Linked DNA regions of Schizosaccharomyces pombe. The protein of the gene in region 1 purifies or fractionates together with the protein of each later gene. This does not show direct contact. Each region holds a gene or a part of one and is shown on either strand. Other genes may lie near its edges.

Region 1 (4,086 bases):
GAATTAAATAACCTTAGGAAAATCAATTGCAGATTAGTCAAGTTTGAAATGGCTAGCAAGAGCCTGGCCTGTGTCAGACTCTTTGCTATAAGCTAGTTCAATGGCGTATAAGAGGAGAGTTAAAATAGCACTTACCCAACGCCAAATTTCAGCGGAACACAATATTTGATTCACTGGAGAAGTGAAAGAGGGTGTTGGGTATAAGTGCTGTAATAGAAGGTTTGTATAGACTGCAATAAGTATACATGGAGAAAGAATACTCCACATACCCTGTTTAGAAGTTCGACTGTACTCGAGAAAGATGATGTTATTTTGTATTGCAGGTAAAATTCTTGTTACGGCATACATAACTGATATGCGAAAAGCAAATGTAGCGAAAACACTCGGCGCTACGGTCTTAGCAGCCGCTACCATAAAAAGTACAATATTATAAAGCGTCCTTGGTAAAGTAGCAGATATAGTGGAGATTAGATAGTGAACACTGTTAAAAAATGTTAAAATTCGACTGCTCGAAAAAAAAGCAAGAAATTGGTAATAGTGAATAAGTAAAACATGTTGGAACTTACCTTTGAAGTATATTAGGAGGAAGATAATCAAACTTTGGTTTCTCAAGAGAACTAGTGTTTGGATTGCCAAAATCAGTACAAACCATATATACGGTGTATGCAATATACAAAAACTAAATATGTTAAAATCAGAAATAAGGAAATAACAATTACCATTAGCGATGCTTCAGATAAATTTGCACGTCCAGAAGCAACACCATAAATAGAAATTACAATCACAGTTGCAAGGGAAAATCCGATCATTAATGCATTAGGATTGGAGATAGAAAAAGAAGATACACGATAGAGGAGATAGAGGCTCATTGATATGGCACTACTAGCATTAAGCAAAATAAAGAACTGCGTTTAAGTTAACAAACGTAGGCATAAATAAAAGTATAAAATATACGTACCATCCAGTTTTCGGACTTATTATGGACCAACCAACGGCTTAGATGGCCAAGAGCTTGTACAACTAAAAGCGACGCCATTCCTTCTAGCAAATTAAATAGGGGAGTAAAGTGTAGTAGAGCAGTGTTCCAAGCAGAAGCAAGAAAAGAGGCATATTTATTCTGCTCTATGCTTGGTGATGCATTAAGGGCTATTATTAATAGAATAAAAACTAAAAGAGGTTCAAAGAAATGTAATGTTAAAGCAATTTTTCGAAGCCCAAACAGCTTCAACAAAGCAGTAGAGAAAAAGTATACTTCTAGTGCAAGTGTAAGTATCTATTTTAAATTTATGTTAGTTTATTTTTTAAGAAAGAGAAAGAAAGAAATGTTGAAATAACTTCATTCCTAAACTTACCAAACCGCAAAACCGACCGCCAATCTCAAAGGCGATTCCTACTAAAACTATTATGACTAAAAAAAACCCCAGGGAAAGGAAATTCCCAAACATTGCTAGCATGTTGCGGAAATGTGTTGATATATTTGCTTTAGGTTTTCCCTGAATCTCTGGTGCTTCATCATCAATAATTTCCAATATAGAATCATCCATTGCTTCAAAACTCGTGTCCTCCACTGTCGAAACCGAAATATCATAATTATTCGACCTAATTTCCTGGTCCATTGCCAAAAATTATTAAAAATTGGTCAAATTCGTAAATGCAAGACGTTGATTTTTCAATTTTTGTACAATTACTATCTTTTTAACACAGTAGAACCCAAACTGAAAACTACTTCACTCTATTTTTTCTTCTATAATTTTAAATCCTTCACAGGTAAACTATAAACACTAATTTTTACATTCAGTGCTGTTTTAATCGTTCATGAAGTAGCACTGATCCCGTAGCTAAGGAGTTTTGCTAAATAATTTTATATGAATTTTGAACGGCTGAGGCAATGAAACTTATCAAGCTTCTTTCATATTCCTTATTAATCGTTAATAGATATACGACAATATAACGCAATACGTGGTTTGTATGTATCTTGGAAGAGGGGGAGCATGCTCGTAACCACACCAAAGCCTATTGTTTACGTTTTAAAATTCGAAAGTATACTAGCAATTTACTATAAAATATTGTATAGATAAAAGCCAAAGGATTTTTTAAACATAATAAAAAGCTATAACTACTATCTTTTCCATCAGGTCGGTTTTACTGGGCTGCTCCACTTGTGTGTTTGCATAAATTTATAAAAGGAAAGTTGAAATTTAGTTCAATTGAATAGATTTTAACAATTCTTTTTACAATTAAATTACTCTAAGACGCCGCTTATATTTTCTTTTTGCTTTGCCCCCTATTTATTCGTTGCTTGAGTTATCAGTCGCCTTATATTTACATTGGTAGTTGAGATCGATTTTTTCAAAGCGGGCAATTCCTTGCGTTCACGAACCAATTATTGATATACTTGCAACAATTTTTTATTTTAAAAGAAATTTTTTATTCGACATTATGACTACTGAGCTCCGTCGTAAATTGGTTATTGTTGGCGATGGTGCTTGTGGTAAAACATGCTTGTTGATGTACGTTTGCCCTTTTAGAAATTCTATTCATTGTTATCGAGCTTTTCAAATGTGAATTTGATTTATCTAAACAACAATTGTGTTTTTAAAGCGATTAATCTACTAACAATTATTTTAGTGTTTTTTCCAAAGGAACTTTTCCTGAAGTTTACGTCCCTACTGTTTTCGAAAATTATGTTGCCGATGTCGAGGTTGATGGAAGGCATATTGAATTGGCACTATGGGATACAGCTGGTCAGGAGGATTACGATCGTTTACGCCCTCTTTCCTATCCAGACTCTCACGTCGTTTTGATTTGTTTTTCAGTTGATGCTCCAGAGAGTTTGGACAATGTTCAAGAAAAATGGATTTCTGAAGTTCTTCACTTCTGCTCCAATTTACCCATTTTGCTAGTTGGGTGTAAAGTGGATTTACGAAACGATCCAAAAACAATCGAAGAGCTCTCCAAAACCTCACAGAAGCCTATCACATTTGAAGAAGGACAGGTAGTAGCTCAAAAGATTGGCGCCTATAAGTATCTCGAATGTTCAGCGAAATTGAACGAAGGGGTCAATGAGGTTTTTGAGACTGCAGCTCGTGCTTCCATGCTTAAATTTAAGCCTGCTAGTGTACCGAAGACAAAAAAGAAGAAGCACTGTATCTTACTCTGATGAAATGCAATCTCTGTTATGGTGTATAAGAGCGTTCTATTAATTACATTCTGTATTGTTAGATTCACTATATTCATTTATCCTCTTGTGCAAAGGAATTATTTTACGAGCTTAACCTTTGTGGTACCGTACACCAAGTTTTTTATCCTTCGAATCATTACCTAATGAGTTTCCATGAATGTTTAAATATTTCATAGTAATTAATTGTCTAATCTTTTATTTAAACTTATCGAAGCCTTTCATTAAAAAACTAGTATAAACACAGTTATATTCATTCACTATTTCGCGAATGTTTGTTGCGTTTTGATTTCAGGAACGTGTTAATTTCCTCACGTAATGTATCATCTAAAGAATTAGTAACTAACAGTGGAAAAAAAAAACTTACTCGGTGTCACATCATCAAGCGTTAATGGAGTTCGATTAAATGGGTCGGTGGCATCACTTAGTAGATGTGCTTTAATAGTAGACCTATCAATCGAAATGCCAGATCTCGGTAAAACAACAGGATCTTTCATTATTGTAAACATAAGAGGATCTAAGAAGTAGTCAGGAATATCACCCATGTCTTCCTCTTCAGTAGCCTCTTGCAATCTGAATGCCTCTACCCTATTCACAAATTCTTTAATAGCTTCTATATCAAAAGATGACTTGAGGTTGTGCTTAGTCATAATGCTAGTCGCACGTTCAAATATTTCTTTACTATAAGAACGGCCATCGTGAGCAACAGCTTCGACAAATGCAGGTTCATTGCACAGGTTAAGATAAACATCGAAAATAATCGACAAAAGGGTTTTTGCATTAAAATGATATTTCGTTGGGTCCTCTACCTTGAGGTTACTACACTTAGGGCCACATAAAGCTTGAAGGTTATAGTTTAGCATAGCTGCCAACCGATCTACAATTTCAACGGCACAAAAGGCTTTAGG
Region 2 (6,956 bases), on another chromosome or scaffold:
TTCAAAAACATATCCTCTTTACCAGATACCTATACTAAATTGAAGCCTCAAGCGCAACTTGCTCGTCTCAGTTACGTTCAATTACCTCCTCCCAGCTCTGATTACTATGAAGACGCAAGACTCGTTTTCAGGGAGCTAGCCATGAATAAAGGTCTAGTGGCTAAAGTCGATGGACACGAAGGAAACGTGTATTCTGTAACTTTGTATAATCCTAGTGATGGTTCAGATTTTTCTGACTGTATTAATGCCCAACTGGTTGCGCTCGGCATGGCTAGTGTTATTCCCAAGAAAAAAACATCTCACTTTGAAAAAGATACCGCATCCCTCAATATTCTAGAAGAGCATCAGCAAGAAGCACGTCTAAATCATATCGGTTTCTGGGTATATGGTGATCCCCTAGAATATGAGGACTAAAAATATTTTACTTCTAGTATAGTAACATTGATCATATTCGCTAGTACTTTTTGCCTACAATATATCTAGTTATTCACTTTAAAATATTGTTAACGTATATATTTTAAAAAAATCTTATTTATCATTAAAATTCATGCACCTAAATTATTTTTTTAAAAAAGAAAAGAAAAGATAACCGAACAAACCAATATCCAATTAACCGTTATAAATAAAACGTGAAAATTAAGTTCAAAAAAACCAAAATTACTTGTCTACATGCTGCTCTTTGGCGTGGGCAGCAGCACTCGTCAATCGAAGGGAACAAACAACACTTGTCTCACAATTTTCACCACGTTGATCGCACGCATAAAATATTTCACCACCGTCCCCTAACTTTCCTCTTCCATCAGCAAGCAAACGGATGTTTCTGCCGGAAATGACATGGATCAATTCAGAGGTTTCAACATGTCTGATTTCAATAAAAGTGGGTTCAAAAGCCAATATATAAGGATAACTTAAGGCAAAGTTTTGAGGACTTCCTTCCCAAACAACAAACCATGTAGGACGAGAACGCCATCCATCTCGATTTACGTAAAAAGCAAATTGGGAATAGCATAAAAGAAATTCACCGCCATTCATACGATAGATAGCGATAGGTTTAACATTTTCTTTCTTCTCCACAAATTCAAGAGACGTATCGGCTGGATCCAGTAGAGACTGCGTCTCTAGGTTATCGAGACTGACCACCTCAAAACCTCTCGTACATCCGACACAGAGTTTATTCTTCAGGAAGTGAACCGAAGTTGATTCCGTGGGTATATAAAGCTCTTTGACAATCCTCAATGGGTCTTGGTTAACAGTAAGGAATTTTTTCAAGCTTGGCATGTTCCGTGTTTTAGAGTAATTAGTGACTGGTTCAAAAACCTTTATAGTAGCACTCAAGACGGAACTTTTGACAGCACACACAAGAACTTTACCCAGACAAATTCCTACGCGAAAGAAAGTTGTATGACCAGAAACTTTCCTTGCTTTTTTAGGGGCTTGAGTAGTATCCGCATCAATCATTTCCAAAGGATACGAATATAACACCTTATCGGAAAGCAGTAGCAATAAACTATACTCTTCAATAACCTCAAGCTGTGAAATGTTGGGAATATTTAACGCACGTACAGGCTTGAATTGAAGTGGGCTGTTTGCTTTTCGAAGAGAGACGTACACACCTGTGTCAGTCCCATATAAAAGTCGACGACCACTATCATAAACGCCTATCGCATTTACTTTATTATCACCAACAAAGAAATTAGAGCAAATGGTAACAGACTCAAACCACTGGTTACGATGTTGTAGCAATGTTTGTTGGTTGTCAATATGCTCTAACCACTTATCCCTACTAACTTCAGTGGTTGCATAAAGAGTGATTTCGTACCCTCTACGACCCAAAAGTTGTAAGCTAAATGGATAAAATCTAGAAGGTGGCTTCCCATTCGCTGCTTTTGATACAGCTGCTAGTTGTTGCTTACTTGAATAAGGGATTCTTAATCCATTATCATCAACAAGGAATAGTTGAAGAAGTAATAGAGGAATAGGCTATACTAGTTAGAAAAAACAATTTAAATGAATAGAAAAAACATACTCTTTGAAAAACTTTCAATAATTCACGTTTATTAATAGTCTTTGGTTTTACTATCAACAAAGCATGGTCAAAGAGAAACAAAGTAACATCCGACGCAGACTCTGAAGAAGTGGAACCAGCACTTCTTTTCTTCAAGGGTCCTTTGAATATTAATTGTCTGTTCGCATCAAGCAGATGTAAATCATAATGTTCTCCAGGTTTAAAGACCAGCTGTTGATTCAAATGAAACAAGTTAAACTTATTTTCTGCTTTTCCGCTTTCAACATTAAGACGTGAGAGAAATCCTCTAACGATATTAATGACCTTCGGAATGTCTTGTTTATCAGGGTTACCCTCATCAGTATATTTTAATACCGCTTCTAGAAGTAATGGATAACGAGCCAATCTGGTAGTTGGTTTAGTCAGATAGCCGTTTAGCTCTAGCTTTCGTGATTCTTTCAGACGTTCAACGTCACTGACAAACTTAGCAAATGCAGGATTAGATGACTTTTCCTTCTCAAACTCGTATTTTCCGTAGAGTTGGCCTGCACCATATCGTATGAAAGGCTCAAATTTTGGAACGTGCTCCAAAAATATATCCGCAATATTATCCACAATGGGTTTATAGTTTTGTCTTTTAGTAAGAGCTTCAGCCAATTTAGAATTAACTGCTTGAACCTCTAAAGCATTTAAAAACACAGTACGAATAAATTTTTCTTTTTTTCGTTCAGGTATACAAGATGAAGCCCATAGTGGTTTAATCCAATAATCCCGAAGATATTCCAAATCCTTAACAAAATCTCGCTCAGTATAGATAACCTCACAAATTACTTCTTGACGCTTTCTTTCCCGGTCACTGACACTATAAGCAATCTCCTGGGGTACGCTGTGAATCCACAATTTTTGTTCCTTATCATCAAACGCTAGGGAGGAAGACTGTTCAGTGTTTGCACGCATTTTGGCAAATAGTCTGTGCTGCTGTTCCAATCGTCGAGGACATGAAATAGAATAGCAGGGATGATCTTTTGCACATGTTGGAGAGTAACAATGCGTCAATAAAGTAAATATACCATTTGGAAAAGAAGTGTCACCTAACGTGGACGGTGAGATTCGAGTGCCCGACTCATTGTCCTCCAATTCCTTATGATGGTTTTTGTTGTTAATGGATGCATTATCATTTGCGCGTAAGAAGGGGCGATAACCAGTACCTTGAAGCTGATATATTTCACGATGAGAATCACGAAGACGATGATCATAGGTAACATCATGAATAAATTTTTGTGCATCTAAAGAGCGTCCGACAAGTAAAGCGAGATTTCTATCAGAAGTATGTATAATACCCATTAGCACGGTGACTGCATGATCGCCAGTAAAGGCATTAGAATAAATTAAACCGTCTTTCGTGATATCACCTAGCTGTAGTCTATCTAACAATTCGCTGGCAACACGAGAAAGTAAGGCAGCATATATTCTGCGTCTTCGTTTATTTTTATGAACAGGCGAGCTAGCTTCCGAATTAACAAACGTCGGCGTTGTTGTAGAGCTTCGATCATTAATTAGGGAATTTCCACTTGCACGGGACTTATAAGAGCTCAACGTAAAGGACCTTGCAGTAGGTTCAACACCAAGTCTCTGCTGCTTAACTGCTTCATAATGAGCCAAGGTAGAATGATCAAATGAGCGATTTCGCATATCATGTTCTCTGTCTCGTAATGTGGTAGAGGGACCATGAAAGACATTAGAAAAGACGTCCAACCCAGAAAAAATATTCTTATGGCTGCTAGCAGAAGCTATGCTTAAATGAAGATCCGCGGGATTGCTAGTAGATTTTGGTAGCTGAAGGGACTGGGCAGGTGGAGAAACGTTAGCAGGATATTCACTAACACTACGTATGAGAGGTGCTTGAGCTGCAGGAGTAACAGCATTGGGAAGTGTAAAGGCGGAATTAGAAGAAACAATGGGTGGGTGAGTTCCTGAAGTAAATGAATGAGAACCAACAGTGTGAGAAGAATCATCAGTTGGTAATCGAGAATTTGAAGAGAGAAAGGGATTTTTAGACGAACGAACAGGAGAGCCGTAAGGATAATTTTGATCGAGATGAAGGTTTGTTTCTACGGACTCTGTAACAGAAGAGACTGCTGAAAGGAGGTTCTCATCTACTGAATCCGAAACCGGAGACGTGCTACTCTGAGACTGACGCCGAACGAAAAAAGGATTTTGGTTGGAATCATCACCGGATGATGTGTGCCAAGTCAAAGAAGGGGAATTAGAGTTATTGGGCGCATGATTCGATACCTGAGGAAAATGGGGTGTGGTGTTTAAAGATGCATATAGAGCACCAAAATCATTTCCGTCTTTAAGAGTCAATGGGACGATCTGGTGATTATTTGAAGTACCAAAAACGGAAGGAAAAGATTCACTGTGCTCAATATTTTTCACAGGAGATGCTTCTCTCTGATGAGTTGGAGGTGCAGGAGGTTGAGACGATGGAGGCTGCAAACTCGTGGAACGAAAGGGCAAAGGTTTCCGAGGAAGCCTTCGCGTGGGAGGAGGAAGAGGTTTTTTTGAGACTGGAGCCGGTTCCATGAACGCAGGAGTACTTACAGTTCTCGCCGGCTCCCGTTTTCTTGGAGCACCAAAAATTTCCTCATAAGCACGCGAGCTCTCATTCACACCGAGTGCATTTGGATGCCGGTAATCCATTGCTACTATAAAAACAATCAGTTTGACGATCGAATCGACAATGCTGAATGTTTCCCGTGAAAACGAGGGTTTGGTGGTGGAGAAAAAGACAAGATAATTTGACCACAAACTTTCTGCGAAAGTAGCTACGAACTCGTTATAACGGTAAGATGATGAAAAATTCTAATTTATACGATTTTCTAAATCAAAGACCATTAATATGTAAATTGCGTATTGCTTGATGAATTAATGTTTTGCTTTAGTATATTGCTTTCACCTTCAATTTCTTTTGCATGGAGGGTTTCCACTCGAAACACATGCTAAAAGGCGACATAAAAAAAGGCTTTTGTTAGTGTTTCCAGAGTTGAATGTTTAAAATTTGATTTAAATTATAATAATAAGTTTATATAGCCGTCCTGGTTCGTTCAATGAAACAATTGATTTGTTTACTTGTCTGCTTAGCAATTTGAGAGAGCAACAGGTATATTAAGAAAAGATTATCCTCGAAGGGAAAAATACGTATACTTAATATATCAGAAGAATTGTTACAGCAGCAGTAAACCGCATTAATATTATGAAGGGATGAGAAGCTATAAGTCATCAGTATGCTGTTTTGGGCTAAGTTTATCTACTTCTTCTATAGATAAGGTGATTTCAATGTTGAATATGTAGTAAAAAAGTCTTGAACTCCTTAAAAAAAAAGTACAAATCTGAATTTTCACTAGTCCTAACAAAGTTAATATCAACATTCAACTGCATCCTGGTCGACTTTCCACTAAAAAAAAAAACGCTTATATAAAAAGGGAAGTCATGAATGAACTCCTTTACTTTATATTGCCTATTGCTTTTCTACTTGCTGCAATTTATGTGCTCACTTTTTCTGTCCGACCAGCTCATAATTGTATTACCGATTTACAAATATGAAAAACATCATCTAAAATAATTAGCTTTAATCCGGATAACCTCAATTGATCGATTTCTATGACTATGCTGTATTGACTTATTTTATTTTAATTGCGTTCGCATTGTTTACTATTCAGCTTGTGCTCAACATCATATAAATTGATCAAATATCTTTTTGTACACTTTATTTGCCCTATTTATCGTTTAAATCATGTAATCTAAATTTGGAAAATTTGCTAGTCAAAGACCAATTTTGTTCTTCCGTCGCGAACATACAACCAGCCATTTTCTTATCCACTCCGCTCGCCGTCCACGAAGATCCCTTGGTGGTGGGTTATAAGTTATTTAACATTTACACATATATTTAAAAACCATAAAGTCCTATAATCTTTTCTTAGGCATCGATTTTGATTTATCCCAAACGTTTCATTAGAAGAGGTTGTTTTTTTGATCAAGTCATTACCTTTCATAATATACTGCTTTTGCTTTCTCTCTTTCTCTGTCTATAAACCTACGAAACTTGATTCCTCTGAAACGCTTGGGAGCTTTCTTTCCTTTTTGGGTTGTTTCAATCAGATCATCCTATATTATTCCTTCCGCCCTAACCCTTTTATTGTGGCATCACAAACCGAATAAACAGACTGTTGCATTGATATTGCGATACAATTCTTTCTTTCTTTTTTTCTTTCTTTCTGTATTCGTAATTTTATGTCAAAGTCTTTTATTAATAGAGGACGGGAGTTTCTCTGGTTCATCGCATAACTTTGAAAGCATCAATCGTTTTCATTCCGGCTTACTATAAAATTGCTTTTTTTGAGGGCGTACGAGATTGGTTTGCATTTTTTGAATTCCATTGACACTGAATTTGTTCTATTTTAATTTATTTTCCCTTATTTTATTCCATTTATTAATTTCTCTTCGCATTTCTTTCTTTTTTTTTATACTCTTCTTTCTCAATTCCTTTTTCTATCTTTTTTCACCTCTCTTTTCTCTTTTGTTGCACTGTCCATCCTGCAACATTTAGTTTTGACCTTTCTCTTTCTTGGATTGCAATTGAAATTGACTCCTATTTGGCCTTAGCTTGCCTTGATTCTTCAAATATTATTGTAGTTCTTTTTTGACCTAGTCATTTTTGGTGATTGTGGTTCCCCCTACCACTTTTTCTTTTATGAAGCTCTCCAATGAACTTTTTCATCGGAGCTCGAAAGACCATGGTGGAAAGAGCCGAATTTGTTTAGACTCTTCAGAGGACACTTATCCTCCTCATTCCTCTTCTCCACCATCTTTTCAGAAACGTCTATCGTTTTCCGACTTTTCTACCACCAGACTCTTTTCTCCTCCTTTTCTTTCTAAACGTTCGAATAAT

What was found.
Region 2: the proteins of rho5 (region 1) and rgf1 purify together in Schizosaccharomyces pombe (affinity purification with western blotting, with the first as the bait; one study listed by BioGRID). This does not show direct contact.

What each region holds. Positions count from the first base shown.
Region 1 is NC_003424.3:2,130,969-2,135,054, reverse strand, and holds rho5 (Rho family GTPase Rho5), read left to right. Parts: upstream 1-2,003; 5' UTR 2,004-2,439; coding exon 2,440-2,510; intron 2,511-2,628; coding exon 2,629-3,160; 3' UTR 3,161-3,370; downstream 3,371-4,086. Other genes in the region: family protein ICE2, read right to left, coding at 34-481, 567-679, 720-905, 959-1,273, 1,353-1,616; ufd2 (ubiquitin-protein ligase E4), read right to left, coding at 3,432-3,505, 3,546-4,086.
Region 2 is NC_003421.2:1,243,015-1,249,970, reverse strand, and holds rgf1 (RhoGEF family guanine nucleotide exchange factor Rgf1), read right to left. Parts: upstream 4,786-6,956; 5' UTR 4,709-4,785; coding exon 2,027-4,708; intron 1,981-2,026; coding exon 658-1,980; 3' UTR 501-657; downstream 1-500. Other genes in the region: tudor domain and nuclease, Snd1, read left to right, coding at 1-414; RhoGEF for Rho1, Rgf3, read left to right, coding at 6,759-6,956. UniProt on the Schizosaccharomyces pombe protein: Stimulates the exchange of Rho1 and Rho5 GDP-bound form into GTP-bound form. Controls septum formation, cell wall synthesis and localization of F-actin patches. Coordinates actin deposition with cell wall biosynthesis during bipolar growth.